Caenorhabditis elegans: one gene and its partner. The protein of the gene in region 2 interacts with the protein of the main gene of each other region in a pairwise test. Each region holds a gene or a part of one and is shown on either strand. Other genes may lie near its edges. The genes, in order: mrt-2 and haao-1.

Evidence for each region.
Region 1: the proteins of haao-1 (region 2) and mrt-2 interact in a two-hybrid assay, tested with the Caenorhabditis elegans proteins (2 studies listed by BioGRID).

Annotation. Positions count from the first base shown.
Region 1 is NC_003281.10:11,740,962-11,758,270, reverse strand, and holds mrt-2 (Cell cycle checkpoint protein RAD1 homolog mrt-2), read right to left. Parts: upstream 11,506-17,309; 5' UTR 11,309-11,505; intron 11,228-11,308; 5' UTR 11,223-11,227; coding exon 11,124-11,222; intron 11,053-11,123; coding exon 10,897-11,052; intron 10,838-10,896; coding exon 10,697-10,837; intron 10,649-10,696; coding exon 10,568-10,648; intron 9,386-10,567; coding exon 9,296-9,385; intron 9,150-9,295; coding exon 9,030-9,149; intron 8,412-9,029; coding exon 8,295-8,411; 3' UTR 8,096-8,294; downstream 1-8,095. Other genes in the region: gbf-1 (Golgi-specific brefeldin A-resistance guanine nucleotide exchange factor 1 homolog), read left to right, coding at 24-562, 1,658-1,873, 2,735-3,232, 3,802-3,966, 4,681-4,848, 5,191-5,305, 5,675-5,760, 6,158-6,265 and 1 more. UniProt on the Caenorhabditis elegans protein: May be a component of the 9-1-1 cell-cycle checkpoint response complex that plays a major role in DNA repair. Promotes DNA double strand break-induced cell cycle arrest and apoptosis, thereby playing a role in genome stability.
Region 2 is NC_003283.11:9,497,516-9,513,586, reverse strand, and holds haao-1 (3-hydroxyanthranilate 3,4-dioxygenase), read right to left. Parts: upstream 8,678-16,071; 5' UTR 8,577-8,677; intron 7,983-8,576; 5' UTR 7,899-7,982; coding exon 7,655-7,898; intron 7,392-7,654; coding exon 7,161-7,391; intron 7,119-7,160; coding exon 7,004-7,118; intron 6,953-7,003; coding exon 6,838-6,952; intron 6,790-6,837; coding exon 6,704-6,789; intron 6,659-6,703; coding exon 6,604-6,658; 3' UTR 6,469-6,603; downstream 1-6,468. Other genes in the region: acs-14 (4-coumarate--CoA ligase), read right to left, coding at 3,248-3,369, 3,416-3,803, 3,879-4,157, 4,206-4,401, 4,635-4,962, 5,016-5,127, 5,244-5,453; swt-5 (Sugar transporter SWEET), read right to left, coding at 9,146-9,262, 9,819-9,938, 10,054-10,116, 10,175-10,267, 10,318-10,441, 11,736-11,813, 12,061-12,185; gsnl-1 (Gelsolin-like protein 1), read right to left, coding at 14,314-14,358, 14,421-14,714, 14,757-14,882, 14,929-15,045, 15,093-15,174, 15,247-15,560, 15,619-15,816, 15,860-15,961 and 1 more. UniProt on the Caenorhabditis elegans protein: Catalyzes the oxidative ring opening of 3-hydroxyanthranilate to 2-amino-3-carboxymuconate semialdehyde, which spontaneously cyclizes to quinolinate.

The DNA of each region.
Region 1 (17,309 bases), on a different chromosome or scaffold from region 2:
CCCCAAAAATGCCTCATTTCCAGACTCCAACAGTGACCTGGAGAGCCGTGTGGACTCTGCTGGAAGCCTACTCGGAGCCCAGAAACAACCGGCCGACTGGATCCATCTGGACCATAAAGATGCGGCAAAAGCCACCGAAGAAGCGCTCACAGCTCTCGGAGCCAACGTTGTTAGCAGCAAAAAGAATTTCCGTCAATTTGGAAGCCTTGTGCTCCGGAATGGGCTCGGAAGACATGAGCCAGCAGCTTTTTTGAAAGTCTGTGAGTGCCTGGCATTCTTGCTCCGCGACGCTGTTCACGTGACACCGGACAACTTTGAATCGAGCCTTCAATGCCTTCGAACAATGGTTGAAGCAAGTCTGGATGGAGGTGTCTACGCAGCTGGGCCATTGAGTGGAGATGCTCAGAATCGGCTGAGGAGCAATGTTACAGATGAGAAAGCTGTTAAGAAACATCATCATCATCATCATGGGCATAAGAAGAAGGAATTGTGTACGGATGTTACTGAAGATGCTGACGAGAGCCGAAATGAAGAGCAACAGTTGATTGGGAATTATCAACAGGTGCTCGACGAGAAAAACTGGATGAAATTGAGCAAAATTTAGGCTCTTTTTGCTCAAAAATTGTGGAAATTTAACGGAAATAATTTTAAAATTGAAAAAAAAAAAACAAATTTCCGCGAAAATTTGCATTTTTTTTCTCACAACTTGAGGATTTTCGAAAAATTGCGAAAAATCAGCGAATTTAGCTTGCACATTTTCTCCAAAGAAACTGAGCAAATCTGCTCCTATCTTGCCCAAAACTTGAAAAAATGACTTTTTCTCAACAAAAAATTGCCCAAAAATTTTTAATTGATAAGAAGAATCGTCAAAAAATTTGAAAATTGCCACTTTTTGCTATGAAATATGCTTTTTTTGCTAAAAAAACTAGAACATTTTTGAAAATAATTGACAAAAATTGACAAAAAACGTTTAAAATTGGTCCTTTTTTTCCCAAAAAATGTGAAAATTTAAGATTTTTGTTCTTGAAAAATTTTTAATTTTTAAAAATTGAGAAATTTTGACATTAAAAAAACAAATTTTCCGAAAATTAGAAAAAACAAATTTCCACAACTGAGGATTTTTGAAAAATTGCGAATTTTCACATTTTCTCCACTGAAATTGAGTAAATCTGCGCTCATTTTGCACAAAAATTGCCATTTTTCTCAAAAAATTCTCGAAATTTATCGTTACAAATCTCGTCGAAAAATTTGAAAATTGTCGTTTTAGCTAGAAAATGCGCGAACTTTTGCAGCTTTTTTCTGCGAATTTTAGACTTTTAAAGCGATTTTCCGACGGTTTTACCACAAAATTCAAAAAATCAGCGAGTTCCACTGAAATTGAGCTCATTTTGCCCAAACCCAGAAAAAATGACTTGTTTTTTCCCCAAAAAATCCCAAAATTTGATTTAAAAAATCATCGAAAAAAGAATGAAAATTGTCGTTTTTTTCTAGAAAAAAGCGAATTTTCTGAAAAATTTTACTACAGAAAACTGCTTTTTTTGCTAAAAAATCACAAAAATTTTGACGTTTTTAACAAACTGAAAATAACGAAAAAAAACCTCAAATTTGTGAAAAAAGGTGTAGTTAATGAAATATCCATTTTTTTTTCATTTTCCAGATGTCCCTCCACCTGCTCGACTTGTGCTCCCAACTCCATTCTCAAACTCCGGCAATCTTTGCAAAGTGGGCTCAAGGAGCATCTCCAGCTGCATCGGATCTGGCGACTGTCGCGTTCATATGGACAGATATCTGGCGCCCGTTGCTCCAAGCAATTGGACGGCTCAGCTGTGATTGCCGACGAGGTGTCCGTGCGGCGGCGTTGACTCATTTGCAGGCACGATTTTTTTTGTCGGAAAAAAATATGCAAATTATTTGAAATTTTCAAAATTTGAAGTGAAAAATTCTTTTTTTTTCTTCTGCAAAACACGATAAATTGTGGTTTTCAGTTTTTTTTTGTTGAAAAAAAAATTCTAATTTCACTTTTTGGAGTTTTCATAGTTTTTCGATAAAAATTTCGTGATTTCGGGTCTCGACACGACAAATTTGTGTTTTTTTTTTTGTTGTTAAATGCAAAAAGATTTGCGCCTTTAAACAGGGTACTGTGGTTTTTCAAACGTTTGAAACTACAGTACCCCCTTTAAAGGCGCAGGCGCATATCTTTTTGCATTAAACAGAAAACAACACAAATTTGTCGTGTCGACACCCGAAATCACGAAATTTCGCCCAGCAAGTGCCAAACAGAGTATATTAGCTTGTGTCTGTGTGATAAAAAACATGCGTTTTTATCGAAAAACTACAGTACTCTTTAAAGGCGCATACCTTTTCCCATTTAACAAAAATCGTAATTTTTCGCTTCTAAAGTTGAAAATTGAAGAAAAAAGCAATTTTTTCAACGAAAAAATTCAAAAAAATCTGAAATTTTCCAGATTTTTAGCTCAATTTCCCTTCTAAAAAGCACTAAATTAATTTTTTTTTTCCAAAAAAAAATCTGAAAGTTTCCAGATTTTTAGCTCAATTTCCCCTCTAAAAAGCCCTAAATTAATTTTTTTTTCAAGAAAAAATCTGAAATTTTCCAGATTTTCAGCTAAATTTCCCTTCTAAAAAGCCCTAAATTAATTTTTTTTTTCGAAAAAAAAATCTGAAATTTTCCAGATTTTCAGCTCAATTTCCTCTCTAAAAAGCCCTAATTTTCCAGCGCGCCTTCCTGCCGGCAAATATGGCAACTCTTGGAGCCGCAGAATGGCAATCATGCTTTGGAGAAGTGCTCTTCCCATTGCTCACTAAGCTTCTGGAGCCATTCTCTCAAATGGATCCGATTGGAATGGAGGATACACGTGTTCGGACACTTCAAATCGTCGCGAAAACTCTTTTAAATCATCTCTCAGCCCTGTCGGCTCTTGATTCATTCCCGGATCTTTGGATGCTTCTGCTCGACTATATGGAGCAATATCTTCGAGTTGATAGCTGTGGAAATTTGAATGAAGCAGTGCCGGAATCGCTGAAAAATATGCTTCTCGTTATGGATAGTACGGGAATTTTCGCTGCAACACCTCGGCTTTATGATGTGACTGTGGAGAGGCTCAACAAATTTATGCCCGAATTGATTAAGGATACGATTCCGAATCCACCACGGCCAGGGCAGCAGCAGTCGGAAGCGTCGGAGCCGAAGAAGGAGCATGCTTCTGGGCTTGAGGTGCTCGAGAATTTTTTTTTACTGAAAAATCAGAAAAAAAAAAGATGATTTTCGGTCAATTTTCGATTTCTTTTTCTCTCGGTCAAAATTCCCGGTCAAAATCTCCGGAAATATATGTATTCTTCGAAATTTCGAATATTTCAACGAAAAAAATTAAAAATAAACATAGAAATAGAGAAATTCCCTGAAATTTTGAGCATTAAATTTTTTTAAAAATATTTTAAAAAACTGGAATTACTTATTTTTCGAAAAATAAAAAATTTTCCGATCCAGAATACCGAAAAATCGAAATTTTTCGATTTTTGATTGGTGTTTAAAGCAGAGAAAAAATTGAGCTCTTTAAAAAAAAAAGGACGTACATTCGAAAAAAAACATGATTAATCCAAATCGAGATTTTTTCAAAAATTGAGAAATTAACACTGATGTTTTCGCCTTTTTTTATACCCAAGACATCACAAAATTAAACAAAAAATTACCGGAACGAAAATTTTAAAATAAAATTATAAATTAAGCTGGAAACGGCCAATTTTTAACTAGGAAAAGTTTTTTTTCAACTAGAAAAATTGCAGCCACCACCACCATCATCCAACTCAACAGCCGCCACTTCAACATCTGATCCTTCGATCGCTACTGCACAATCTTCAATTTCGACAGCTTCATCTGTTGTTGGACCACTTGTTACATGTCCAGAAGATGCTGGAATTAGTGCTCCGATTCCAATACAACATCCATTGGTCAGTAGTTTGGGGGCCCAGTAGTGCCTCAAAAATTGAGATATTTTGTTTGAAGACCTGAAAAAAATTAAAAATTCCATGAAAAATCAGAGAACTGACGTTTGTTTTAATTGAAAATGCTCAAAAATGAATTTTTCGCCAGAATAATATTTTGGCGGAAAATTTGCAATTTTTCAAATAAAGTTTTAACAGAAAATTCAAATTTAAAAAAACATTGGGAGATTCAATTTTTTTGAAAAAAAAATTGTTTTTTCTCAAAATTTAAATTTCCCGCCATAGTTTTTTCACGGAAAATTTGAAAATTTTGAAAAAATTAGATTTTCACTAAATTCAGTTATATACTTGCACTTCTTTAAAAAAATATTTTACCTCAAAAAAAATTGGCGGGAAATTTGAAATATTTCACATACTGTTTTAACGGAAAATTCAACTAAAAAAATTTGGTGGGAGCTTCAAATTTTCTGAAAAAAATATTGTTTTTTTTCTCAAAATTTAAATTTCCCGCTGAAAAATTGCAGGGAAATTCAAATTTTCTGAGAAAAAATTTTCGGCGGAGAATTCGAATTTTTTAAAGATATTTGGTCTCAATGCCAAGAAATTTTCAAAAATTCGATTTTTTTTTTCCTGTAACAATCCGAAAATCTTCAAAAATTTTTGAATTCCACAAATTTCTCTCAAAAAAAAAAATTTTTTTCGAAATTTTTTTTTTTGCAGACTGAAGTAATTGTTCACTCGGGACCAACATCACCAATTGGCTCACCACCACAAACTGAGCCACCAGCTTCAAGTCCCCCGCAACACCAACATTCGGAGCACCAACAATATGAGCAATATCGACAGCAGCAGGCAGCGGCTGCACAGCAATATCAGCAGTATAATCAGGTAAAAATTGAAAAAAAAAAATCGAATTTTTAGCTCAAAATTGAGCAATGTTTCGAAAAAAAAACTGATAATTCTAGCCAAAAATTGAAAAAAATCGAATTTTTAGCCTAAAGTTGACCCATTTTTGAAAAATTCGAATTTTTAGCTGAAAATTGACAAATTTTTCAAGAAAAATGCAGTTTTTTACGTTAAAACATTTAAGGAAATGTTTTAAAATTTCAAATAAATTGAATTTTTTTGGCAAAATCGAAAAAAAGTATCGAAAAAAAAATGTTTTTCCCACTAAAATTATTCACGAAATTTGAAATTTTTCGATTTTTTTTAATTTCCAAAAATTTCCAGAACTATCCCCAACAACAGCAGCAACAGCAGCAACAATATGCATATTCACCAGAACACGCGGCATACTATCAGCAACAATATGCACACCAACAACAGCAATATGCAGAGCATTATGGTAGAAAATTGGGATTTTTTTAGGGAAAAAGTCGAAAAATCGAGCAAAAACTGGCACTGGAACGGTTTTTTGAATTTTTTGGAACAATTTTTTTTTCCATTTTCCAAATTAAAAAAGAAATGGTATAAAATTGGGATTTTTTTAGGCAAAAAATCGAAAAATTGAGCGAAAACTGGCCCTGGAAATTTTTTTAGTGATAAAATTGTGAAGTTTTTGAATTTTTAAAGAAAAAAATGGTTTTTTGAATTATTTCCTTGATTTTTTCTAATTTTTCTTGAAGAAAAATGGTATAAAATAATTTTTATACGTTTTTTGCATCAAAATTTTCAGTATTTTTCGAATTTTGGGCTAAATTTCCTTTTTTTTCAGCCAATCAATATCAGCACTATCAACAGCAGCAACAGCAACAACAGCAGCACCCAGTAAATCCAACGAGTCCCAGTGTTCACGGACAGGTATAGTCCTGGATTTTTGGAAAAATTGGAATTTTCCCTGAAAAAACCAGACAAAAATCACATTTTTCTGTGAAAACTTGGTTTTTATCACAAAAAATTACAAATTTTAGATTGCAAAACGTATATTTTAACTAGAAAATCTGATTTTTCAGCAAAAATTTGAAAAAAAAAACGTTTTGGCTCTAATTCTCTCTCGAAAATGTATTTCGCATTTTTTACTCGAAAAAATCAAAATTTCCAGTGAAAATTCGCAAAGTTTAAGCCAAAAATCCAATTTTTTTTGAATTTTTTTTTTTTTTGAAAAATTCTAGTGAAAAATTGAATTTTCGACAAAATCTTCAATTTTCACCTGCAAAAAACCCCCAAAAATTCCACCAAAAACCCCAATTTTTTGCAGTATTCGGTGGCGAATCCTCTTCCACTGCCGGCTCATCCAGCTTATCATCCGATTGTTGCACCATCAGTGAACAGTGCATTCACCCATGTGTACACTCCGCCACAAAATGTGAGAATTCGTGGAAAAATACTGGAAAAAGCGAGATTTTTAGCTCGAAATTGATAAATTTTAAGAAAAAATTGAAGTTTTGAGCTAAAAATTGGCAAAAAGCCAAAAAATTTCACACTTTTAGCCAAAAATTGAGAGAAATTCCAAAGAAACATCAATTTTTTTTGCCAAAATTTACTTTATTTTATTTTTTGGCCCAAAACTGCACAATTTTATTTAAAAAATTAGCTAATTGGCCTAATTGACACAAAATTTTCAACAATTTTTTTTTTTCAGAATGCTCCTGCTCTTGCTCCATCTGCTCCAACAACAACGTCAGCAGATTCTCCGTATTTCACCCCGATTCCCTACAATCCGAGCCAACAGGAGAAGCCTTAATTTAAAAAAAAATTAAAATCTAATTTTTTTTTGCATTGTGATAATTGAATGTTCTCCGCGATTCCCCCTCCATCCATTTTTTTAAATTAAATAAGTAAATCCCCCCGAAAAAATCTGAAAATTTTGAAATTTCAGCACAGAAATAGTCGAATAACTTGGGTTAGAATGATTTGTGTGTCCTATGGTTCCCCTTTTTTAATTTTTTTTTCCTGAAATTTCCTCCCCTTCCCCATTTACTGCTTCTTGTATTTATTATGCGTGCAAGTCCCTCCACCCCCACCCCGAGAAAGTTTTATTATTATTATTATTATTTATTTCATTTTTCTTTCGATTCAAATTTTTTTTTTTTGAGTAATGAAAACCACGTTTTTTAAAAGATTTTTCCACATTTTAGAGCGGGATTCTGGTGGAAAATTCAAAGTTTCTAAGAAATCTATTAGCGGAAAATTCAAATTTTTTGAGAAAAGCAGAAATTAGGCGAAAATGAACGATTTGAGGTATTACGGGTACACAAAATTTTGAGAATGCGTATTGCACAACATATTTTACGCGCGAAATATCTCGTAGCGAAAACTACAGTAATTCTTTAAATGACTACTGTAGCGTCGATTTACTAGCTTGATTTTCGAAGGAATTTTTTGCTTAATCGATCCCTAAATAATTTTAATTAATTCCGAATAACGAGCCCGTGAATCTGCACAAGCCCTACAGTAATCATTTAAATAATTACTGTGGTTTTCTTTTCGCTACGAGATATTTTGCGCGTCAAATATGTTGTGTAGTACGCAATTCTCAGAAATTTGTGTTCCTGTAATATGTCTTTTTTCCAACAATTACGGAGTCTTTTTGCAAAAAAAAAACCCCATTTTCTCACTGCAAAATCCAATATTCGTAATAAAAATCAATATTTATTGAAAATTTCGGCAGGAGACTTTAATTTTCTTTAAAAATACACAAACTTGGGGATTTTTAGGGCTACAAGAAGTTTTGCATTCATTTTCCACATAATATTGCCGGCAAAAAACTCTAAAAATTAATTAGAATTTGAAGAAATCCTAAAAACACATCGATTTTTCAGGGGGTTCTGGCCTTCCTCATTGCATTTTTTGCGCTCCATTGACAATCGCCCGACGGGCAACGCATGGGAAAGTGTCGTGTACTCCACACGGATAAATACATTTAGTTTTACTATCGAGCCGCGACGCGACACGCAACGCGCCGTAAATCTACCCCAGATATGGCTGAGCCAAAATGGCTTAGTTCGGCAAAAACTCTTCCATTTCAATTTATGAGGGAAGCCAGAAATCCTTGTTTTTTTTTTGAAAAAAATCCACGATTCTGTGTATTTTGACGTGACGGTGTACTACGTACCGAGCATTTTATTCGACGAGACACTCACTGAAAAAAAACCCAATTTTTAAAAATTTTTCTCATTTCAAAATGCAATATTCGTAATAAAAATCAATATTTATTTGAAAATTTAAATCAACAGCGAGAATTGCAAGAAGCACGAAAAAGAAGAAAATATTAATTTTTTTTGCGTGCGTTTCGGTGCAGTTTTTCGGGTTTTTATACCCGGGAGATGAGGGTACACTTGTTGCAAAACTCGGGGATCGAACATTAAAAAAAAATTAAAAATGTATATAATATTTTATTCTTCTTCATCAGCGGGCACCGTCAGAAATTCAATGTAGCTTGCGTTTCCCTCGCCGTGATCGATTGAAAATTGACAGGAGAGGACGCCACGCTCGTCGACACGGAGGATGAGCTGGAAAAAACTTAAATTGTAAAGTTTGCATCAAAAAATTCGAGACATTTTTTTTTAGAAAATTGAAAAAAAAATTTCGAAGAAAAACATTTTTTCTAATTTTTTCTCGATTTTTGAAACTAAAATTTGATTTGGAGCATAACGTTTTAATTTATTTTTCGATTTTTTTGGCCAATTTTGGAGTTTTTGGGGTTTTTTTTCGGGGAAAAAAACGGAAAAATGTTGATATTTTTTGTTGCAAAATTGGAAAAATCGTTAAAAATGCTTTAGACATTTTATTTATTTTTTTCGAAATTTTTTTCTGTTTTTGAAAAAAAAATGAAAATTTTTTTTTTCAAATTTAAAAAAATTTTCAAAAATCGAAATATTTTTCGAAAGGAAAATTAATTTTTTCACAAATAAATTTATTTTTCTAAAAAAATCGGCTCAATTTTTTAAATTAAAAATTATAGTGAAAATAATTTTCACAAATTTTTTCAGATTTTTTTCAAAAAATTTCGAAAAAAATTTTTTTTTTCCCCCAATTTTTTCATATTTTTAATGAATTTTTCCTGGAACCATGATAACTTTAACTAGGAAAAATCTAGCAGATAGGCTAAATTTCTTTCCAGAAACTACCTTTGTAGCCAGTATAAAGGCGGTAGTCATTCGTTGAATAAGCGACAGAAGATAGCTAAATTCAACTTCTTCAAGGCACTTTACACTTTCCATTTGAAGGCTTCGAGACGGTATTGATACCTGAAAGTATAAAAAATTTGGTTTTAATTTTTTAAAAAATATTTTTTCAAAACAATTTTTTTTTTTTTTTTTTGAGTTAAAAAATTAAAATTTTTTTCTTTTTAATTTCCTAAAATTTATTTAATTTTCAATTTGAAAAATCCTACTGTAGTCTCGCCAACATCACCGAAAGTCGTGAAACACAGTGAATTCTTGGTGAATTGAATTCTCACCGTTCGGCTTGTGTCATCGAAGTCCTGAAATAGAGAAAAAAAATTAAAAATTCGTATTTTTTTAATGCAAAAATAAGAATTTTTATTTGAATTTTAGAATTTGCGCGTCAAATCATAAGTATTGGACGTCGATTTTTTTGGGTTTGGGTTGGAAATTCTGCAATTTAATCGATTTTTTTTTATTTTCGAAAAATTGAAACAATAAAAACTACTTTTTAAGCGAAAATCGAATTTTCAAGTAAAATTTTTTTTCCAAAATTGAAAACGGAAAATTTTCGTTTTTAGCTCAAAAAGTCGGAATTTTCGGATTTTTTTTTTGGTTTTTTTTAATTTTGAAAAATTAGAAAATCGGAAAAATATCAAGGTTTTTTCAATCAAAAACGGATTTTTTTTTTGAAAAGTAATGAAAAATTCGAAAAAAAAATTTTTTTCAGAAAATGTTTTAAAATATGAAAAACAGACCAAAAAACACCGATTTTTCTGAACGGAAAACATTTTTTTTCGTTTTTCGACAAAAAAGTATCGAAAAATAAAAATAAAACGTTTTTTTTTTCAAAATTGAAAAACGGAAAATGTTCGTTTTTGGCTCTAAAATTCGGAATTTTCTGGTTTTTTTCGTCTTTTTTTGTTGAAAAATTAGAAAATCGGAAAAACCGAAAAATTTTTTTTCAAAAAAGTCGAAAAAAAGTTTTTTTTCAGAAAATGTTTTAAAATGTGGGAAAAAACCCAAAAACAATAATTTTCTGAAGGGAAACCGATTTTTTTTTTCGTTTTTCGACTAAAAAATTTAAAAAAAAATGGTTTTTTTTTCAAAAAAGCTAATTTTTTCAGAAATTTTTTTTTGGAGTCGAAAAAAACCAAAAAATGTTAATCTGTCAGAACAAAAAGAAATTTTTTTGTTTTTGCGACATTCGAGTAGTTTTTTATTTCATTTTGAAAAAATCCAAAAAAAAATTTTTTTCCAAAAAGTCAAAAAAAAAATTCAGAAAATGTTTTAAAATATGAAAAAAACCGAAAAACACCGATTTTTCTGAAGGGAAACCGATTTTTTTTGTTTTTTCACTAAAAAAGTAAAAAAAAAAGTTTTTTATTTAATTTCAAAAAAAAAACATTTTTTTCGAAAATCCAAAAAAAAAAATTTTTTTTGGAAAATGTCTGGAGTTTAATAAATTTTTTTCGAATGTTTAAAGGTTTCAATGATAAAACCTTGATAATCTCCTTGAGAACTTGAGTTTTAAGCAGATAGGTCGCCAGCACACCAGCGTCATCGAATTCAAAGTCGAGCTCCTAAAAATAGACAAAAAAAAATCTAGGAATTTCGAAAACCCGGCGAACTTGATCTGCCAGCGTTGTTGTAAAATTGCCACGTGCCACCCATCCGTCTGCGTCTTCAACAAGCATTTTCACAGGCTGAAACATTCCCGGATACGAGACTTTTACAGAACTCGACGAGTTTTCCGAAATGCTCAGGAATTCCTGGAATTTTTTTGTTTTTTGCCACTTTTTTGGGCTTTTATGGGCTTTTAAAGGCTCACAGAAATCGATTTAATCGAGATTTTCATCGAAACTATCTCCTCGCGAACTTTAAAACTCGAGAAGAACGCCGGATTGATAAAAACGCTGGCCAGCTGATAGGATCCATCGTCGACTGTGATCTTCATGCCCGCCTCGGAAGCGTGCCACGTTCCTGTCTGGAAAATTGAAAAATTTAGATTTTTTCTCAAAAAAAATGAAATTAATATCGATATTTTCCAACACTAACATCCTTAAAAGCGACGGTTTTGAAGACCTGCGCGAGCTCCTTCACATTTTCTTTTTTCAATTCCATAATTGTGCATTGACCCGTTTCTAATTCCATCATTTTTCCTGAAAAAATTTAAATTTTAACCGGAAAACTGAGAAAAATCGCTGAAAATTAAATATAAATTAAAAAATTAATTCTCGCACCGTTTTCCGAGAGGAGTACACCTGCGGAGTTTTGTAGGCCATCGCACCTCGTCCCTCTCATTTGCGCGGAAATTCAAATTTGAAACCTCCGATTTTCGATCTTTTCACCCTTATTTTACACTGTGGCCAGTGTAAAGTACTTTTTCTTTTTGCGAAAAAGATTTTTCTTTCGAAAGCGAGAGAAGCTCACTGATTGCGTGACACACTCATCCGTCGTATCATTTTTGCTCGAAACTAGTTTACAACTTTTATGTGTGCGTGTGTGTGTGTGCTCTTTTTGGCTCCGGATGAGCTGAGCGGACCACGGAGCTATTATGAAATCCCGCGGTCCCCCATATAAACATGAAAAAAGAGCAATTTTTGGGAGTTTTTGGTGGGAGACGGGGAGGGCAATTTGTTCATACATCAATGCGTTTTTGTGTATTTGCTTTTTTTTTCTTTAGGAAGTTTCGAGATTTTTACGATTTTCCAGGCATTTAGTAGATCCCTAGTGTCCACATTTTCCACGTGGAGTACACGACGCGTGGTCAAATCTGGTGCATTGAATTTTTCGCGCTCCATTGACAATCTCCTGCCGGAAAGGACATTTTCCACGTGGAGTACACGGAACGTGGCCTAGAAAACTTTTCTTGGATCTTCACGGGGTTCTGGCCTTCCTCATTGATTTATTCGCGCTTCATTGATAATCGCCCGCCAGACAACTAAAATCGAGCCGCGACGCGACACGCAACGCGCCGTAAATCTACCGCAGATATGGCCTGAGAGACGCAGGGGTTTTTTTGAAGAAGGATATTTGATGGGACAATGGGAAGAAAAAAGGGATTTACAACTTGAAAATTCAAATTTTGCGCGTCAAATCTGGTGCATTGAATTTTTCGCGCTCCATTGACAATCGCCTGCCGGACAACGCGTGGTAAAGTCGTGTACTCCACACGGACAAATTCATTTAGTTTTACAACTAAAATCGAGCCGCGACACGGAACGCGCCGTAAATCTACTCCAGATATGGCTGAGCCAAAATGGCCTAGTTCGGCAAACTCTTCCATTTCATTTTATGAGGGAAGCCAGAAATCCGTAGTTTTTCTCTAGAATTTTTCTAATTCTATTTTTGTCATGCTAGTTCTTTTCCTCAAATTTGGTAAAATTTGTACTTTTTTACTTGTACTTGAGAATTTGTACTTCAGAAAAATAAGGCAAAAACCGCTTGTCCACGGGGAGTACACGACACGTGGCCTAGAAAACTCAGCGCGGTATTTCAAATTAAATTTCATGCCTTTTTCTGTGTTTTCTGTTATTTTATTACGCTAACAAAAAATCCTGAGAATGCGTATTGGGCAACATATTTGACGCACAAAATATCTCGTAGCGAAAACAAAACTACAGTAACCCTTTAAATTACTACTGTAGTGCGTGTGTCGATTTACGGGCTCGATCAATGATAAATGAATTCATTTCGAAAATCGAGATCCCGTAAATCGACACTACAAATGTCATTTAAAGAATCACTGTAGTTTGCTTTTCGCAACGAGATATTTTGCGCGTCAAATATGTTGTGCAGTACGCATTCTCAGAATTTTTTGTTCCCGTAATATTCTTGCTCCGCATTCAAATTTGAGCCGAGAGAGAAGAAAATCTTGTTTTTTTTTTCGAAATTTCCACGACTCCGCCTCCTGTGTGTGTGTGCATTTTTTGGTTCGTTAGCGCTTGAGGCTATGGGCTCTGTCGAGCTCATTTTTCTGTTTTTTTTTCGTGCTCCCCTTCCTATTTTGGCTCGCGGAGCTCAGCTATAAAGCGAGAAAATTGGTCTATAAAATTTTGATGAAATTGAATTTTTTAATTGCTCTGTAACTGAAAAAATTATTAAATAAAAATTTAATTCCCGCTATAATTTTTTGGTATGCGCCTTTAAATTGTGAACTACAGTAGGTTCAGACATTTTTTCTGGAATTTCACGTGGTGCCAGGCTGTCCCATTACGGTTTGATCTACAAAAACGCGGGCATTTTTTGCCCAACAAAATGTGACGTCAGCACGTTCTTAACCATGCGAAATCAGTTGAAAACTCTGCGTCTCAACTCCCGCATTTTCGTAGATCTACGTAGATCAAGCCGAAATGAGACACTCTGACATCACGTGAAACTTTCAGACAAAATATTCGAAAAATTTAATCAAAAGTAATCAAAACTTTAATTTATTTAAAAAAAAACTGTGAAAACTCAATGTCAGCAAATATTTCAAGATTTGCGCGTCAAATCTGATGCATTTTTTTCAACTTAACAATTCTTTGCACTACCCGAGAAATTCAAATTTTCTAACGTTTGTGCGTCAAATCTAGTGCATTCCTTTTTTAAATTTCAGCTTGAAGTGCAATTTTAGCCTAATTTCTACAATTTTGAGTTAAAAATCTTTAGGTTCTGCAGACACGGAGTTCTGGCTTCCCTCATAAATTGAAATGGAAGAGTTTGCCGAACTAGGCCATTTTGGCTCGGCCATATCTGGGATAGATTTACGGCGCGTTGCGTGTCGCGTCGCGGCTCGATTTTAGTTGTAAAACTAAATGCATTTGTCCGCGTGGAGTACAAAAAATGCAATGAGGAAGGCCAGAACCCCGTGAAAACCCGAGAAAAGTTTTCTAGGCCACGTTCCGTGTACTCCACGTGGAAAATGTCCTTTCCGGCAGGAGATTGTCAATGGAGCGCGAAAAATTCAATGCACCAGATTTGACGCGCAAAATTTGAATTTTCCAGTTGTAAATCCCTTTTTCCCGATTTTTCTCCATTGTCCCATCAAATATCCTTCTTAAAAAACCCCTGAAAAAGAAACATATCCAGTTTTCCGCGCGTACACAATAATTCTCGAGGTGGACAATTATCCCCCATTCGTTCTTATTCTCTGCGTCTCTCAAATCCCACACACTCTCTCTCAAGTCTCGTCATTGAATTTGACCGGTCCGGGTGGCCAGAATTAATCTACAAAAGTACTTTTCTTGCACCCGGGGCACGGATATCAGACTTGAAAATTTCCAAATTAAAATTAAAATTTAGTTAAGGCGATGTGACGTGGCGCTGGCGGGGATGAGGAGTAAATGTAATTGGATTTGGGATTTCGGACGAAAAAAGCTTTTAGTGAAAGTAGATCCCGCCAGTTTACTCTTCAGAGAATACTACCAGCAACACACCAGATTTTGGGTTTTGTTGTATTGATTTTTTTGGTTTTTATTCAAGAAAATTTGAAATTCTGAGAATGCGTATTGCACAACATACTTGACGCGCAAAATGTCTCGTAGCGAAAACTGCAGTAATCCTTTAAATGGATACTGCAGTCGATTTACGTGCCGAAGTAGCGATTTTGGGTATGCGCCTTTAAGGTTACTGTACTTAAAAATGTTCTTGAGCCTTTTTTTGCGGAAAATCGGTCATTTTAGGCTATTTTTCTTTAAAAATAGCTAAATTTTCACATGATTTTGCAGGATTCTAGCATAAAACAAGTCAGAGTGTCCCATTTCGGTTTGATCTACGTAGATCTACAAAAAATGCGGGCAAAGTTCTCGACTGATTTCGCATGGTTAAGAACGTGCTGACGTCACATTTTTTTCTGCAAAAAATTCCCGCATTTTTTGTAGATCAAACCGTAATGGGACAGCCTGACACTATGTGTATAGATAAATGAATGATTTTAATCAATTTCGAAAATCGAGACCGTAAATTGACACAAGCGCAACAGTAGTCATTTAAAGAATTACTGTAGATTTCGCTACAAGATATTTTGCGCGTCAAATATGTTGTGCAATACGCATTCTCAGAATTTTGTGTACCTGTGATAGTTTTCATGAAGAAAATAAAAAATGTTCGTTAAAATTTATTAAAAACAGATTTTACTAGCCCCCACAAGATTCAAAAAACTTAAAAATTTCTACAATCTATTTAAAAATGTTTACAATCTCATCCTATACCTCAATGATTCACCCAATACGACCTTCAACATCCTACCCTTGACATCGAAATTCTTGCGAAATGAATATGTCTTCTTTTCAAGAGGCAAAGAAAGAATAGTACTAGAAAAATGGGAATAAAATTGGAAAAACTCGAGGAAACTTTGGGTTTTGAAAATAGAAAATGCTAAAAAAAAGCGTTTTTCGAACGCTTTTGTTATTGCTTCGAGCCTCAGGAAAACCCGGATTTTATTTATTCTATTTTGCGCGTCAAATCTAGTGTACTCCGGTGTGCACACGTGGTGTCAGAGTGTCTCATTTATGTTTGATCCACGTAGATCTACAAAAAATGCGGCAGAGTTCTCAACTGATTTTGTATGGTTAGGAACGTGCTGACGTCACATTTTTTTGGGCAAAAATTCCCGCATTCGTTGTAGATCAAACCGTAATTTTACAGTCTTTTACGCGCAAATATTGAATTTTTTAAAAATAAATTTCTATTAAAATATAGCAAATAACTCTCCAAATAGGAGTAAAAACCAAAGAATTCTCCCATTTCCGACTCAAAATCACTCATTTTTCTTTCCAAACAAAAACGACCTCTCATCAGTTTCCTGCCACAAGTTTTCCTCTCATAATAGCCCCCCGGCTGGGGAGAGGCGGGAGTCCTTTCACTTTTCCCTCTCGTTGTTCTTCTGAATCATTTTTTTCTTTTGAAATTCCTCAATTTATTTTCCTTTTTTTCTCTTTCTTTACATTTTTTTCGGCTGATCTCTTGTTCTCTTTTTTTTTTATTCGTTTTTTAAACGGATTTTAGATGAATTTTTAGCTAGAATTTCAGATTTTTTGAAAATTCACTTTGAAACAAGTACTTCATAATCTAAAATTCATTCGAAAAATTTGTGTTCGTTTCTACTCTGAGAGACAGAAGAAATCTATTTTAGAGCCGTGTAAATTGGGCGAAAAATTGGGAAAAAAAATCCAAATGTCCAAACACCGGCACATCGTGCAATGCATTCTTAAACAGCAATTCCAACAAGAGAACGTAGGCTCCGCCCACGTTTTCTGGCAAAAACATTGTGCTTTACGGGCTCAAAAAATACCAATGATATTGTTTTTGGTGCTTTTTTAGACTTTTTTTTTGTTAATTTCAAAGCTTTTTGAAATATCTCAGATCAGATTTCTCAGAAAAAAATTTAAATTTCTATAATTTTCAGAAAATTCAGAAACGCTTATCGAACAAGTAATTTTTTTTTGTTTGAATTTTTAACAATTTCACGTGGTGTCAGAGTGTCCCATTTCGGTTTGATCTACGTTGATCTACAAAAATGCGGCAGAGTTCTCAACTGATTTTGCATGGTTAAGACCGTGCTGACGTCACATTTTTTGGGCGAAAAATTCCCGCATTTTTTGTAGATCAAACCGTTATGGGACAGCCTGACACCACGTGGCAATTTCCCAATATTTTTTGTTGGAAGTTTTATAGAAATTTCAGTTTTTTCAAACATTTTTTAAATTGAATTTACCTTATTTTTCTGGACTTTGAAAAAATTCCTGGAATTGGCTTTTTTTTAACTGTTTAGACATTTTTTCAGAAAAAAAGTGGAATTTTTTTCAGTAATTTCTACATTTTGTCTGGAAAAATTTGGAAATTTGCCTTAAAAATTGTATAACTTAAATACTTCCAAATTTCTAATTTTCAAGAAATATTAATTTTTTTCCGAAATTTTTTGAATTTCCAGATTTTTAAAATAATTTTCTGAATCTTTTTCAAACAATTTTCTACCCAATTTTTGTCAAAAAAAAACCACGTCATCTCCAATTTCCATAAAACCTATTCAACCATGACAGTCACCTCGAAACTTTTATTGGAGGACCGGGTGATGACGTGGCAATATATATACAAAAAATAAAATAAACAGACAAGATTCGTGTACCTCCTTTTTATTTTGTTTGTTCGATCGGAGGGGAACTGTTCGATTTGTTCTCTGTATCTCTGAGCACTCTCTATCTCTCTCTCACAGAAGATTTGTCCTTCACAATAGGAGGTAGTGGTCACATTTTCGACCAA
Region 2 (16,071 bases):
ATGCATTTTATTCAAGAATTCAAAATAACTGAACTAAAAAATACTATTTTGAAATTAAAAAGATTATATACTTGTCAATACTGACTCGTGTCAGGAAATCTTTAAAAAAAAGCCGAATACTCAGTTGCTCATCGTGTAACTTATAGGATTAACGTTATTCTCCTGTCGGTTAATCCATCTTACAATAGGCATGTTCTGTCCACAACAAATAATTTTCTTAACAGTCTCGATGCATCCCTGTCGATAAGATTTGATAATAATAATAGTTGGAAGCGGATCCAAAACCGGATACAAAGCAACAGCATGCCCAATTATAGGATGTTTCAAATTCAATTCGATATTCAGCATTGGAGCTGTGAAAAATACTCCGGCGGGTACATACATGAGAAGTAATGGTATGGCCGTTTGAACGACAAGTGCCTGGAGTAACTGGTTCTGAAGGGCTCTCGAAGTTTCAGATATAATACCAGTGCTCTTCAATTTTTTAGATATACACCTATAGCATTTTATACCAAAAAAGAGCACGCTACAAAATGAAGATCCCTGGAAAATTTAGTTGTTTTTTTCTTAATCCGTATTATTTACCACAATGATCAGTATCACGACGACCCCTGTGAATGATTTTACATCAGGAGCTGTATTTCCAAATTTATCTAAAGGCCAAAAATTTGCACTCATATATGCATAATCGTCGATATCAATACGATAGTTTTCAAGTAGATTAGCCCTGAATAATACTTATTTTAGAACACAGTCAACCATGATTCTCACCTAAAAAATGATCTTCTCTCCGAAGTTTCTCCATAACAGTAAAAGCAAATGAATCCCCATAGAATGCTGCATACAATTGGGAACCAGTATGGGAGAAGCTGGCCAACTCCCGAATGATATTTTCGACGGAAGTTTCTGAAAAAAAGTGCACACTAAACACTTTGAAAATGTGTCAATGCTCACGTGTTAACTGTACCGTAACGGTAAAAAAGTGTCCAGCAAACAGTGCAATTGAGAATCCGAAACAAGAACAATATATCCCTGATTTATTCGTTTATTTTCACAAAATCTACACATTAGAATCTTACATATTAAAAGTTGACCAATTAAGTGACTAAAATCATAATGACCTTTTGAGTTTTGAGCAAGAATACAAACAGGTGAAATTTAGAGTGTCAATTCTAAATCACATAGACATTTAAGTTCAGTAAACTAATTTTTGATAGTCAGAGAACATATATAACAGAGATCTAAAATTGGAAACATTGAAGTTTTAAAAAGTTTTTCATTACTCAATAAATTAAGCCAACCCTGCCTTAATTCAATATTAAAATAAATACGATGAAACATGCATTTAGAAGTTTTTTTTTTCAGAAAACAAAGCTTTGGAAACTTGAGAAAAGAATCATCTCCATAAAGTCTAATATAGGGTCCAAGAAATCTCTTTGTTATATTTCATGACTTCCTTGTTCAGACGTGTAACTTTATTGTTGTACCAAGAGATCATGTGACAGATGACATTTTTCTAGTTTTTCTGAAAGCAGGGAAGTGCCAGAGTGTAAGGGAAAACTACAAATAGCTCGTAGTTTCTTATTAGTGAGTTGGCATATGTTACCTTTTATTTTTCGCATTAAATTTTTCTGAACACCATTACTTCCAGACTACTGACCATCAAAATTCATTCATCAACGAGTAGTGAGTAATATTTATGTATAAAATGAGCTTAGGTGTAGACTGCTTTTATTTTTGTACATGCATAATACGGTACGGTTCACATTATAGCATGCTTCTGCTCGGTTCAGTGAATTTTCAAAGCTAACAGTACCGTCATCAACTCTAAGATCATCAAACCGCTCGGAAGATTCGTTTTAATATTGTAATTTAGGACTACATAAATATCTTACAGAATCAAGTTTTGAAATTACGCCAACCATAACGATTTAATAATCTTTGCAAGAAACTTACTAAAAAATTTAGGAACCAATTGTAAAAACGAAGCATGCGAGAAATTTGATGAGGTTAAACATCAAATGAATGCTCTTGCTGAAGAAACACGTAGCAGCTCACAATATGCGTAAGATCAAATGATGGGATATCATAAGTAAAACAAGCAGAGCATATATAAACATATTCAAAAGATCATAGGTAAGTTAAGATCGTAGGCAATCATTGAATAAGAACACATGGAAAAAATAAGTATAAATACTACTATTTTCTTCCAAACTCTTCAAAATCACATCATCATAAAGGTCATCAGTGGGGATTTTCATAAACACTTTTTCGAAATAATCGAATTTTGTAAATTTTGTAAATTTTAAGTTTTGAGTTTGAAAAATCCAAATATCCTGGTTAAACAATTTACAAAATTTGTACTTTTTTTTCGACTACAAAAAATATCCTAAATGCTTTCGTTTTTAAAATGTCCAGTCAAATTGCCAAATTTTTGAAAAATTTGGACTTTTGAAAAACCCTCAAGAGTGTCTCTAGAATTTTTAGATATAAATAATGTAAAACATTATAAGAATATAACATTTACAGAAATGTTTTTAAAAAATATACTCTTGCCGACTTGATAAATCAAAACGCCACTTTTTGACTGTCATTTAGACTAATATTACATGGTTTACAACGATATATGGCCACGTCAAAATCAAAAGAGTACTTTTAACATTTTTCACAATATCTAAGCTATACCTTTGAGCAATCTGTACATATTCAGCTGTTCACTTACTAGTAAAAGTCATGAATAAAACTATTTGCATAAGGGCAATTTATTTTCACATGAACATATTTTTTTCCATTCCCATGTTCCGATAGTCAACTTCATATTCTCAACCAACTATTCCCATTTTCCTCTTCTGCTATTTCAACCATCAATGATTTTTCCTGTATTTCTTCTAGTTTCCATTATTTTTCCACTCATCTTCTGCCAATGCCGTGATCTTCATCCAAACTGTGATTTGTTCAAAACTCTTGATCTTTGTACATCAGTTAGTTCTCAAAAAGCAATCATGAAATACAATTGTGCGTCTTCTTGTGGATTTTGTGGAAAGCAAGCCGGAAGTTGTGTGGATCGTTTGTCAAACTGTGCCGATTATAAATCTTCAGGACTTTGTGAAACTGATGATAAGCTACGTATTGAATATGCTTGCCCAGTTACTTGTAATGTTTGTTCTACTCCTGTATAATCATTCAATTACTTTGAGAAAAAACCATGAAAAATTAATATCAATAAAGTTAATGTACAAAAAAACATTTAAAGCTTGGCTGAAGAACGATCTCTCAAGAATCGTCTCAAAATCTTTCCAGCTGCGGACTTTGGAATTTCTTCAATAAATTCGACACCACCTTCGAGTTGTTTGTAAGGAGACACTTTTGCTGAAAGTATTATAGTTATACAGAAAATGCACTATTCATAACTTACGTTTAACAAAGTCCTTAACTTCTTGTTCAGTGAGAGTGTTATCAGCTCTTACAACAAATGCTTTAGGTAATTCTCCAGCTTTAGCATCTGGGATTCCAATAACTGCACAATCTCTAATCTTTGGATGAGATAGAAGAAGATCTTCAAGTTCAGCTGGTGGTACTTGAAGCCCTTTGACCTTGATTAGCTCTTTAAGTCGATCAACAATAAACAAATTTCCATCCTCATTGAGATAACCAATGTCTCCAGTGTGAAGCCATCCATCGATGACAGTGCTGGCTGTTGCTTCTGGTCTTCCGAGATACCCAAGCATAATTGTTGGACCACGAACACAAATTTCTCCTCGTTGGTTAACCGGTTGCTCTCTGTCGGTTCCTGGTTCCACAATCTGAATAACTTTTGTATAAATTGAATACTTTTGTTTCCTTTTAAACATTGAAAAACTTGATTCGGAAATTCTCACCTTCATAACCAAATTTGAAGCAAGTTTTCCAACGGATCCATATGGTTGATCATTTCTTAAATCAGGAAGATGACTAGCCATTGAACATTCCGTCATTCCATATCCTTGTTGGATGTATTTCAAATTTGTATACTTCCTCTTCAATTCTTCAATCAAATCCTTTCCAGCTGGAGCTGCTCCCGCCATTATCATTTGCACTGATGATAGATCAAACTTATCGCAAATTGGATGCTTGGCCAAGAAAACCATAATTGGTGGAACTAGGCAAAGACAGCGGACCTAAAGAATTAAATTAAAAATGTTATTTATGAACTTTTGATTCTATACTTTGTAGTTTTGAACGGCAGTCAAAAAATTATTCGGCTCAAAATGGCTCATGACAATTCCAGTCATTCCCTTGAGAAGACAGTGATTAAGAAGACCAAATCCATAGACATGATAGAATGGAAGAAACAAGAGAGCTTTCTCATTGTAGCAGTCCCAATTTGGATCAAGAACATCCAAAATGTGTGATTTATCAATTCTGAAAGTTGTGTCGTATATGAACCTAATTATATTTTCGTTTTTTTTCAATTACTTTTCAAAAAATGTACATAACGTTATACTGATTCTTCTGTATTGATCTATGAAATTGTTTTCTTGGCCCTTATCTTTTTTTGCGTCATAGGAAGGTTAAAGTGTAACCATTTTACTGTTAACTTTGTACTTTCACACCTATTCTGTCTCATCATCATCATCTTTAAATTTCAAACTTACGCAAGATACATGGAGATCATGGATGTAAAATTGTAGTGTGATAGCATAACACCCTTTGGTGGTCCAGTGGTACCACTCGAGTATGGAAGAACGAGTAAATCATTGTGAACATCAATTGGAACTTGTGGTAGAGCAGTGACTGGAGTTGAAACCACTTCATTCCAAGATACAACTCCTGCTGGAAGAGAAGATCCAACTGGTTTTGGGATGACAATGATCTTTTGGATGTTTGGCGATTGCTTCACAGCAAGAAGAACTTTTGGAAGAAAATCTTCGTAAGTAAAAACAACCTTTGCGCGAGAATCAACAAATTGACGTTGAAGCTCATCTGAAAACAGAAATTGCGGGTTGGTGAAAGTAACTTTCATCAATTTAACTTACAGTCAGTGAAAAGTGCACTAGCTCCAGATACAGCTCCACCGTTGATGGCACATCCAATGAAAAATGAAGTATAGTGCCAGACGTTTGGAAGAACAACAGCAGCAACATCTTTCTAAAAGATATCAAAAATTTAAGGCATTGTCTTGAACAAATTGAAAGATTTTTGAAATACTTCCTTTCTCTTGTTGAATTATAAAATTCCCAAATTTTTAACATAATGCCACATACCTTGAACCCAATGCTATGAAGATACATAGCGACAGCAAAAGCATCCTTACGAAGTTGTTCAAAAGTAATGAAATGTTTTGGATTATCTCCGCTCACAAATGCAATTTTATTCTTTCCATCGGCAATTGTTTTATCAATTGCATCAAGGAGCATCTCATGGTACGGACGCTCGGAAATCTTCACTGGTGGATATGTAGAGTCGTGTGGCATGGCTGAAGTTTGAAAAATAAATGAATTTAGCAATAACAATCAAAATATAAGAACTGGGCAAGAGGACAGCATGGGTAGCCTACAGTGTGGCCGAAGGTCAATTTAGAAAAAGATAGAGACTGATAAAGACGACAGTTGATAATAGTAAATAGGAAAACTACAGTGCTTAGACGTTATAATGTGGTCCATTTATTGTAGTCTTTGTTTTTTGGCAATTTATAACATTGATTCAACTGTTGAGGAAAAACCGTTAGAAAATTAAAAAAAAAACCACATGAGCGCGGGAAATACTTATCATTTCAGTTTCCGATGCTCATAATCCTAGACAATTTCAGTTAATACTCAATGAAGACAACGAAAGAAAAAGAATAAATGTACACAAAAAGGGCATATTAATGATAAGGGTTGCAAAACGAAAAATGGGCTATGAACAATAAAATAAAAGATCTGTAATCGTAATCAGATGTTTTTAAAGATCTGAAACTTGGATTGTACGTCATTGATCATATTAAAAAGATGCTCAAAACAAGGAAGTACTGGCCAAATTTCAACAATCAAAGTTCTCGTGACGATTTGACAGTAAAAAATGAGGTATTGTGAACATTTTCTAAATTATAGTTTTTTTCCAACCGAGAAGTTATTTTAAGTTATTATTTTCAATCTTCCCCATCAAATTTAAAAACAACCCCTTTGAAAATTACGGCTAAAAGGCATTTATTATTTTTCTGCTAAAAAATTTTCGGAATGAGTTAACGTTTTTTTTTCTAATGAAATAGAAATCATACTAAAAATAGTTATGTAAACTAACTACAAAACAAAAATTGGATTCTTTGTATTTTTAACCAATTTTACAGTTTTTACAGTGACATAATTTCCTGAAACGAACAACGAGGTCTGAAAGTACAAATTTTCTGAAGCTTTGAAGAACATGATGGTTTTGCTGAACCGACAGCGTGTGTTACACGAGACATTTGACATCGATGATAATGAAACGGAATTGATGTTATCAGTTGGCCACGATTGCATGTCATTCATTTTGTTATAAATCAAAATTGAAATTACATTTTGGAATAAAGATAGAAATATTGAAAAAAGCATTCATTCAATCAGCCTATATGGAAATTGACTTTTACAAAATTGAAAAAAAAAATTATGCTGGCATTCTGATGGTGATAGCAAATCCTCCTTTGACATTAAGAAGACACCTAAAACAAAATTATTTCAAAGAACCTATAATTCCGTATTCTTACTTTGTGTTCGGTTTTATCCTAACCATGGTCTCCGATTTCATTGCATAAGTGAACCCGCTCTCTTCTACGACCGCAAATGTGTTTTCCTAAATGATACATGAATTTTTTTTGGGATTTTTCTGTTTTTGCCATACCTGCAACCAAATTAGCAACTCTACAGTTCCACTTTCCAAATCATAAGATCCCTCTCCTAGCAACATAACTTCAGTTTTGTACTCAGGTGCTCCATAAATTCTCACTGGTCCGTTTCTGAAAACTTCTCAAATTAACTATCCGAAACAAAACCAACTAATTTCTTACTTCACTTCACTGATATGATCATAGATAAATTCTTTTCTATTAATAGGTACGGGTAAATCAGTCCATCTTGCTTCGTATGGAGCATTGCATGCAAATGTTCCTTTTCCTGGTTTACCTGAAACAAAAAATCGGTGAGCTCACACAACTACAAACCAACCAGTTTTGAATTCATTCGATCCATAAAATTCTTTGATTAATGGAGGTAAATCCTTGACAACATCAGTCAAATAGAACCATCTTTCAAAGAGTGTGATATTGGAAGAACCAACAAGAAATCGAACACAATCAAATTCAGTATTCTTTCGTTCACGTTCAACGACAAGACCAATAGAGTTGGAAAATCTTTGAGGTGAATGTTCTACTCTTGCTGGCAACATGAACATTTCCCCTGAAAAATAGAGAGCTCAATTTTGAGTTTTGATTCAGATTATCTAACATTTGTGAAAAAAATAATTCCAAAAAATTTTTGACAACACAGATTTAGTTTCCGTTTATAAATTGTGAAAAATTCTCAATTTTCAGTCTAAATTTTTTGTTCATGGAATTTTAATTTAAAAAGCTAGTTAAAAAGTTATCTAAGAAACCATGTGAGTTTGTGTTATTAATTAATTAATTTACAAATTCAAAAATAAATTTTGTGATGAATCCTACCTTGCTTGATTACTAGATCACGGACTTGACCCTTTTCAATCACTTTCAGTACCATATCCCCTTTTCTCTGGAAGAAAAACTCTTCTCCTTCTTCCAAATGAAAATCTTTTCTTTGATTTGGTCCTCCAACGTAGAAAACTTTCAACTGATCCGAGAACATACACTTGTTACAAACAGGTGGTACAAAATCCTCTTGATTATCTTGAATCCATTGTGGAATCTCAATTGCAGTAACTCCGCTCATTGTTATCACAGGTGGTTCTGCCAGTTTGAGTTGAGGCTTCTGTTGCTCTTCGGTAGAAACGGAAGTCGTACAGACTACTTGCTCCTGATGCGAAATGAATAATTTAGTGGAGGTGAAGCAACTCATCGATTGACAAGGGAATTAGCTCAAGACGAATTGGTAGAGAACTGAGAGATCGGGTTGAAATTGAAAAAAGACTGGAATATATGAATGGCAAGTAAAAGTGACATTTTGACCTCTATAATTATCACAAGAAACGAGAAACGGACAATAAATCGTCGAGAAATACCAATACAAGGCGTTCTTGGGAACGCTTTGAAGTTCAAAGGAACAAAGCATTCGTACCCACCTATTACAAAGTTATGCATGAGAACACATTTTGTAAGTAGTCAAGTTGCCAAAAATTGATTTTAAGCCATAAAAATAATCCTCAGATGCCATAAAGAGAATATGAAAATTTACATAATTTTGAGAACGGCAGTGAGTGTGTTCAGGAATTGATACGATTATGAGCTAAGTACAGTAATCCCCAGATGAAAATTTCGAATTCAATAGAATGTTCAGAGAGTCTCTAAAAGGTTTGGATGTAATAAAAGAGATTAAGAATAGATAATATAATAAACGAATGACCTTCTTTCATATACACCAATTAATAATATAACCTGCCATTCTTCTTACCTTCAGTTTATATTTCTCATATAAATATTGCAGTTTATTGGGTTTTTTGGAACATAAGTTGACACATTCCATCTCCGAAACTTCTCTTTTTCTAACCTAAATTATAAAGCTAAAGTCATAGACGATCGAAGAATTTGTCAATTCGATTACAGTAACATAGACTAAATCACCCACAAAAAACCGAAATTTTTCAAAAAATTGTATGTGGTTGAGACAAAGCGGTGTTAATGTCCGATTAACGCGACGAAATGATAAACGTGCAATGTCACATCTTCTTAATTTCGCCCATCTTCTTCTTCTTATTTCCGTTTTTTGTGTCTTTTTTACATTTTTCTTATTCTCGTATCTAAATCTCCGTGATTTGCTTATTCTTCGCTGATTCAAGTGTCGCTTTTCAATTCTTGATTAATGATAAATGTTTGACCGTCTTAAGGAACTGGTACCCGTTTATTTCGAAAAATTGAGAATTGGGAGTGGGAGGAGGAGAGAGAAGCAACATTAAATTGGTGTTGGAGAGAAAATTGATAGAAAACCTGAGATGCTTTGACCAAAACACGAAGCATTCTGGGTTACATGACTGTTGGAATTGGTGACGATTTCAAATTTTTCTTCTTTTTTTCCGTTGGATACACGAAGAACATCGAGAGAAGTGAACCATCCATACAGAAGAAGATCACGTTGGCTAACTGAAAAGTTGTAAAATTGAATTTAGGATTATCTTAACACATTTATTGGTGCAAAAAATTGTCCACATACTTGAAGTTAGTGTTTTACATCTAAAAGCAACGAATTTTCAAGAATGAAGCGTGGCCTAGAAACTGAGAAAACTCGGTCACTTTCAAAAAGTTGAATTTACACGTGGTGTCAGGCTGTCCCATGTCGGTTTGATCAACGTAGATCTACGAGAATTGCGGGAAATTAGACGCTGACTTCTCTACTGATTTAGCATGGTTAAGAGCGTGCTGACGTCACATTTTTTTGGGCAAAAAATTTCCCGCATTTTTTGTAGATCAAACCGTAATGGGTCAGCCTGGTGCCACGTTATTAAGAACTATCTCAAGAAATCTTCTCCGAAAAACCAATAGAAAAACTATTTTAAGTACATTACTCTCAATCTTCAGAGTGTTCAGAAAGAACCTGTGAAAATTAAAGATAAACCGCCGACCGAGTTTTAGATCTTTCTAGGCCACGTCGAAAATGTGACCCTTTGATTTGATAACAGTTAAAAAATTCCGAACAAACCAGCATGTAAAAATCATCAATACCAATACTATAAACGATCGCGTGGAGCTCCATTACCCACGTGAAGACCACTGGAGCCAGGGGTACAAAATCTATACATTTCGATGTTACTGCTTTGTACTGCAAAATGAAATTTGGAGGTATGGGGAATTGAACCCCAGACTTCTCGCATGCGAAGCGAGCGCTCTACCCCTGAGCTATACCCCCGACGGCTAAACGGGTAACTAGTACTTACTATTAGATACGGACAGACCAGAGACCCAGCAATTTGAGCGCCAGATGCGATGCGGCCAGTGAACTGAAAGAGACATAGAGAAATGAGAGTGTATATAAGAAAAAGGGACGCAGACACTCACTTCTTTCCCGTCTTCATCATTCATATTACCAATGTACAAGAAGAGTAAAGACAGAGCAGCTGCAATTCCAGTCATTAGACGAATTAACTTTCGCTGAAATTAAAAACAAATATTTAAAAAGAACAAGATCCAAATATAAATACTCTTTTGGTACGGTAGAAAATGAGTGCAATCACGAAGAATAGTTGCATTGAAACTGCATATGTCTGCAAAAGGATAAGCTTTGTGTCCCGAAGAAATATTGAATACCGAAGCCATAGTGCAGACCTGAAACTTTTGGAATTCGTTGTACAGTTTTATTATAGCAGCAATTACAGAACCATTACAGTAATCCAGTTTATTTTGTGAACTGAATACTGCAATATCGGAGAGTCGGAATAAAAAGAGAGGCAGAAAAAATTGTGCCCTGGCTTTGAAACGGTGATCCGACTATGCCATATTGCAGTATTCATGGAGCAAATGCTCTCTCGATACAGTACTTCATATTTAAGAGAAACACAATATGATATATTTGGGACGTGATTGGCCTATATAGGATCTTGATAGATGTCGACTGCGAATTCAAAAAAAGTTTCCCAAATGTTCGTTATTTAATGCCCAAGCTACAAGCTACGAAATTGGCAGAGTGACAATTATTCTATTGAAAAGTGTAGGTTTGAAACGTTATAGTTCTGTTGGAACAAGGCTTAAAGAGTGTAATGAATGATATAAGAAAACATGAGAGCTGAAGATGGAGATGGATCGACAATTTCCAAATAAGCTTGAGAAAGTTAATGAAGAAATAAAGTAACGTTTCACTTCAAAATTGTTTTTTATTAGATGCAATAAATGGAAGCTAGATGGCAAAAGATGGTATCTACCAAAACCGTATTTCTTTACGTAAATGCAAATCTGATAGAGGTGAAGGGAATTTTTCATATTGTTTACGCTGCCAAACTACTCATGATCTTCTAAGAAAATTCATGAAGGACATCTCATATTTCAAAGAAAAACTGATCTTGATTGCGGTGAAGGTGGTAAAGTAAAATGGTGAGAATTAGACAAGTTACTAGTACAACTACAACTTAAGTTGAACTTTGTACAACTATGAGCATTTCTTTGTTGTTTTTTATTTATATCCTATGAACACAACTCAAAAACGTGTGCAGTCGTACCACTTTTTTAGATTTTGTCAAGTTCGAAGTACTGGAATATCACAAAAAATAAACAACGTACAAAGTAAAAAGTCGGAAAACTAAAAAGTGTATTTAAGTACACACATTTTGCCTTATTTAAGTAACCAAAAACATATATTTTGATACATTCGTGGTGTCAGAAGTGTATTAAAATACATTTCGAAAAATTACTTGAATACCAAAAAACTAAGTGAGCACTGATTGGTTTCATATTCTGGTAAAAATAAATAAAATCAGACTGGGAGACTAGCACGAGTTGGAAAACTGTTTTTTTCTGTAGAGTTAGATTTCACATTCTTGTCCAACTTTTTTGTTTTTTTTTTCTTTAGAATATACTTAATTTTCCTTTAAATAATAATAAATAAATGTTTAGGGCAAACTCTTACCCAATAACTGCACAAATGTATGGAATGGGAGTATCACTGTCACTGCTTTGCCTTCGTACCCATTTATGAACAGCTTGACTGAAATTTAAATACTTTTAACTATTTTCTTTTAAATTTACCAGTTTTGTTAAGATAAAATTATATTTTGAATGTAAAATAGATATTGTGGACTTTTCGAAACACATTTGTTATTGATATTCGACGTTTTTCTTTTGTTCCCAGCTAATTTTAACCACATTTAATCTGCCTCCCACGGAAGTGAATAAAGTTTATAGGACAGTTTCGACAATCTGCCAAGATTATATCTAGAAAAAAAGTTACTTACACTGGACTAGTAATTAAAGCAACTGCATGAAGAGCTGTAGAGGTTAGAAATAATGACCAGACAAGATTTGATGTATACATGGCAAAGAGCCGAGAGGCAGAGACCGTACCCAAGTCGATCTCCATTCTAAAATAATTTTAGTTAAATATTTCAAATAATTGGAAAGGGAATAATCAATAATTGAATTGAAACATGAGAAAAAGAAACATAATGAAATGCATGGAAAAAGGCTATGTACTTCTGCAATCGAAGGCTTATTCTTTTCTTTTTGACGCCCCATATCTCGGCTTTGCATCTGAATACTTAGCCGCCAGTCAAATGGGAAGAAGACGGACTGTTAGATGTTGGCTAGAAAGGGTTAGAGAATGAGAGAAGGATGAGGAAAAAGAAGGTGAACCGGACATATAGGAGAATAAGAGGTGGGACCCAAATGAAAAAATGAGATAAAATTCATGTGCTTAATGGAGACTATAAAGATTGCTGACGTACTTTATTACACCATACAGGAAGGACATTTTGAATGAAGTTGAAGGTTAATTAAAGATTCGAGAGTAGATTAGCAGCTTCAAATGTTTATTAGACAATTATCTCGACGTTGCGATGGTTTGGATAAGAGGTGAAGGTAGTCAAGAATCTCATTCACTTTCCGGTTTTTTCAAACTTTCAAACTTAAAAGTGATCGCCAATAAGTTGCACTGTTCTCTCCTTAATTGAATATCAATTGATTGAGCAGTAGAACTCCTTAATTAACTAAAACTGCAATGAAAATATTAGTTTTTATTTTAAAGTAATGCTGGCGAACCGGACTAAACCGGACGTCCGGTTTCCGGGTTCTGAAGAATCAGGTGCCTGGTTTTGGGGTGCTACAAAATTTTTAAAATAATTTTTTAGACAGTTCCTATGATATCTGTCTAGTTACAATAATTGCACACTATTATGTATTCAAAATTAGAAAAAAACTGGAACGTGAAATGAAAACTCGGAACATGGATTCAGAAAAACCAGACATCCGGTTTGTCAGCCCTATTTTGAAGATTTCAGTCTTAAAAAATAATTATAAAAAAACGCAGAAATAATTCGATTTCTATAACTTCGTAATAACTTCAATATTCCAAAGGCACCTAAGATTGGCATTAAAGTTTAAAACTTTCGGTTAACGGCGGTCCAACTCCGGCGCCGATCTAGAACTACCGATTATATACTCTTCTAAGGAATCTCTGCAATCACTTTTTAAGCTTCAAAGATCATAGATCTCTTATGAAAACATCAGATTTAAAAGCGGACTGTTTACTTTCTACGTTCCCTGTCTTCAAACAACAGGTCTCTGATCTTCCTCACAATGGTTATACTAGGAAAGTTATTCGTTTTGGATAACGTTCAAAGTGTAGTGTAAACGAGTTCCTGAAGTTTTGAAGATTAGAAAGTTCAAATAATTCAAAGTTTTTCTCGCCAAAAATGTTTAACTTATTTGTAATTTACTTTCGCTAATTTTTCAATTTTTATTTATTTGAAATAATATTAGAATCAGAACAATTCTTTTTCCCAAGAGTTAGTGAAGGAGAGGATTGTCTGAAAGGCTGAATCACGGTATAGGACGATAAAAATAAAATTAAAAAAGTTAAATCAAGAAAACACAATGACATATTTGCATGAAATTGAGAATAATTCTTCTATAGGGAACAATGCGTTCAGAGATTTTTCACGTTCTCCCCCTCAGCCTTGTATTGCAAATGCCCGACACTTTTCCGATTTTCATATTGTTCCGTCTCGGGAAAATATTCACGCTTCGCACGTTTCGATTTCTCTGTATATAGCTTCCTTCTTAATTCTTTCAGCAGTTTATTTTTCTTCGTCCAACATATGTTTGTGTAAATGTTCACAAGACATATCAGATTCAGATTGAAATCAGTGTAGCCATGGAGACCCAGCAGTGTGTTCTGAACAGTTCTTTCACAGGATTTCAAGGTCGATGATGTAGAAAAGGAAGAGTGGAAGCTCTGAATGAAAACGATACATAAAAATGACACGTTTTCACTTTTTCTCAGAAGAAAACGACGAAATACGATGGTTGTGGGGCAGACCGAGGAGCTGATAAAGATCTATTAGCTACGATCTTCTGATGTACCCCTTCACTTATTTTGTAAAAAGTTATGATCAGGCAGTGTTTATTATTTCAATGAGTCATTTTAAATTACATTAGAAATGTAGAAACATTATAAGATACAATGAAAAATTAAAATTAAAAAAGTTTAATTAGTGGAAGAGAAGGCGACGCATGTTCTGCACGGATCGAACTTCCTGAAATACAATATGTTAGCTCATGATATTTTTTGTTTTCATAAGAGTATTTAATTACTTACATTCTTGAACAAATTATCGTCCCAGGATGGGAAGAATTTCTTGAAAGTTGGTGGTTCTTTTCCTTGGAAGATCGTGTCAATAGCTGTTTTCTTGTGACGTGGCAACTTATCTTTTTCCAAGTACAACTTTGCAGTGTTTAATGCTTCTTTCTTCTCATTTGCATTAGCATTTGCTCCAACCCAAACGTAGATGGAATTCAAAGCATCCAAGATCATGACATCATCTCCATCAAGATCTTCTTGAGTGAAGTTTGCAATTTCCTCAACATGAAGAAGACCGCTTTCATCGGAAACCTGAAACTTCAATCTGAAAATTGCTCATTGCATCAAACCAACTTGGAAAAGGAGTGGAGTGAATGTGTTCTTCTTTTTCTCATCAACCCAATCACGGAACCATTGGGTGAATTGAGTAGATTCAGCTGATTCGAGAACTCTAGTAACTTGTGTCCAGCGGGGAAGATGCTGAAATGTGAAAGGAATTATTTTCGAAATAAAATAATTATCATACATGCTGTTTCAAATAGTTCTGCCCCCAAATAAGAGCCTTCGATCTTTCTTCAAGAGTACATTCATGTCCAATCCAGACGAAGATTCCACCATTAATTGCATCAAGAATGAAGGCATCCTGAATTAAAATAAAATTGTTTCAATTAAACTGATTCGGCAACTCACCTTGGGATCAAGTTGCTCTTTTCGAATATTTTCGCCTTGAGAAACCATGCTAACTTTAGCAGCACCAGATGCGTCGGAAACTCTGAAATAAATCAATTTTCAATAGGTTAAATAAATTCCCTTAAATTCCAGTCAAATTTCAAAATTGTCTTACTTCCAAAGTGTAATTTGCTCCGTAAGTCTTTTCCAGTAGTTATCATCGTCATCTTTTCCCTTTGACACCTTCCTAACGGACGAAACCCCACCAAAATAACTCCAGAATGTTGAATCATTATCCCATTCAACATCATCAAGAATATGAACTTTCGGGATTCCCATTCTTTCATGATCAGCAATATTCTTGGCACGAGCCATTCCCTTGATTCTTTCAAGTCTTCCACTCTCTGGTGGCATCCAAACATAAAGATCCTTTCCCAGATCCAAAATGAATACATCTCCCAAATTAAGAGAATTCACTTCACATTCCACCTAGAATTGTATTCTGTGTGCTTTCAATGTCTCTTATCTTCTATTTATTTTTCCTTACCTCCGTGCATCTCACATTTCGTTTTCCCTTACAATGGAACAAATGAGGTTTCCAGTTTTTGAACTGATCGTCTACATGACGGTATCCAGATTCATAACCACCAGATACATAACGAATTCCGTCAGGGAAATAGGACAAGAAGAGAGGAGATTCGTAGTTTTGAATTTCACGATGTTGGGTTGGAATTCCACCGAGAGACTGAAACAATCAAATTTTAAAACTTTCTAGAAGCATTTCTTACATCGTCAATCTCTACAGTCTTGATTGCTGCAACTCCAATTTCATCAGTCGATGCATTCTTTCCAAGCCAGAAATGAACATCCCAACATCCATCGTACTTTTGCTGTAACCATCTCTTTTCATATATTCTGTTCTATAGGAAAACATACGTAGAGTGCAATGTAGGCGTCTCCAATGTAAAACACACCATGATCAACCTCGGGGACCGGCTCC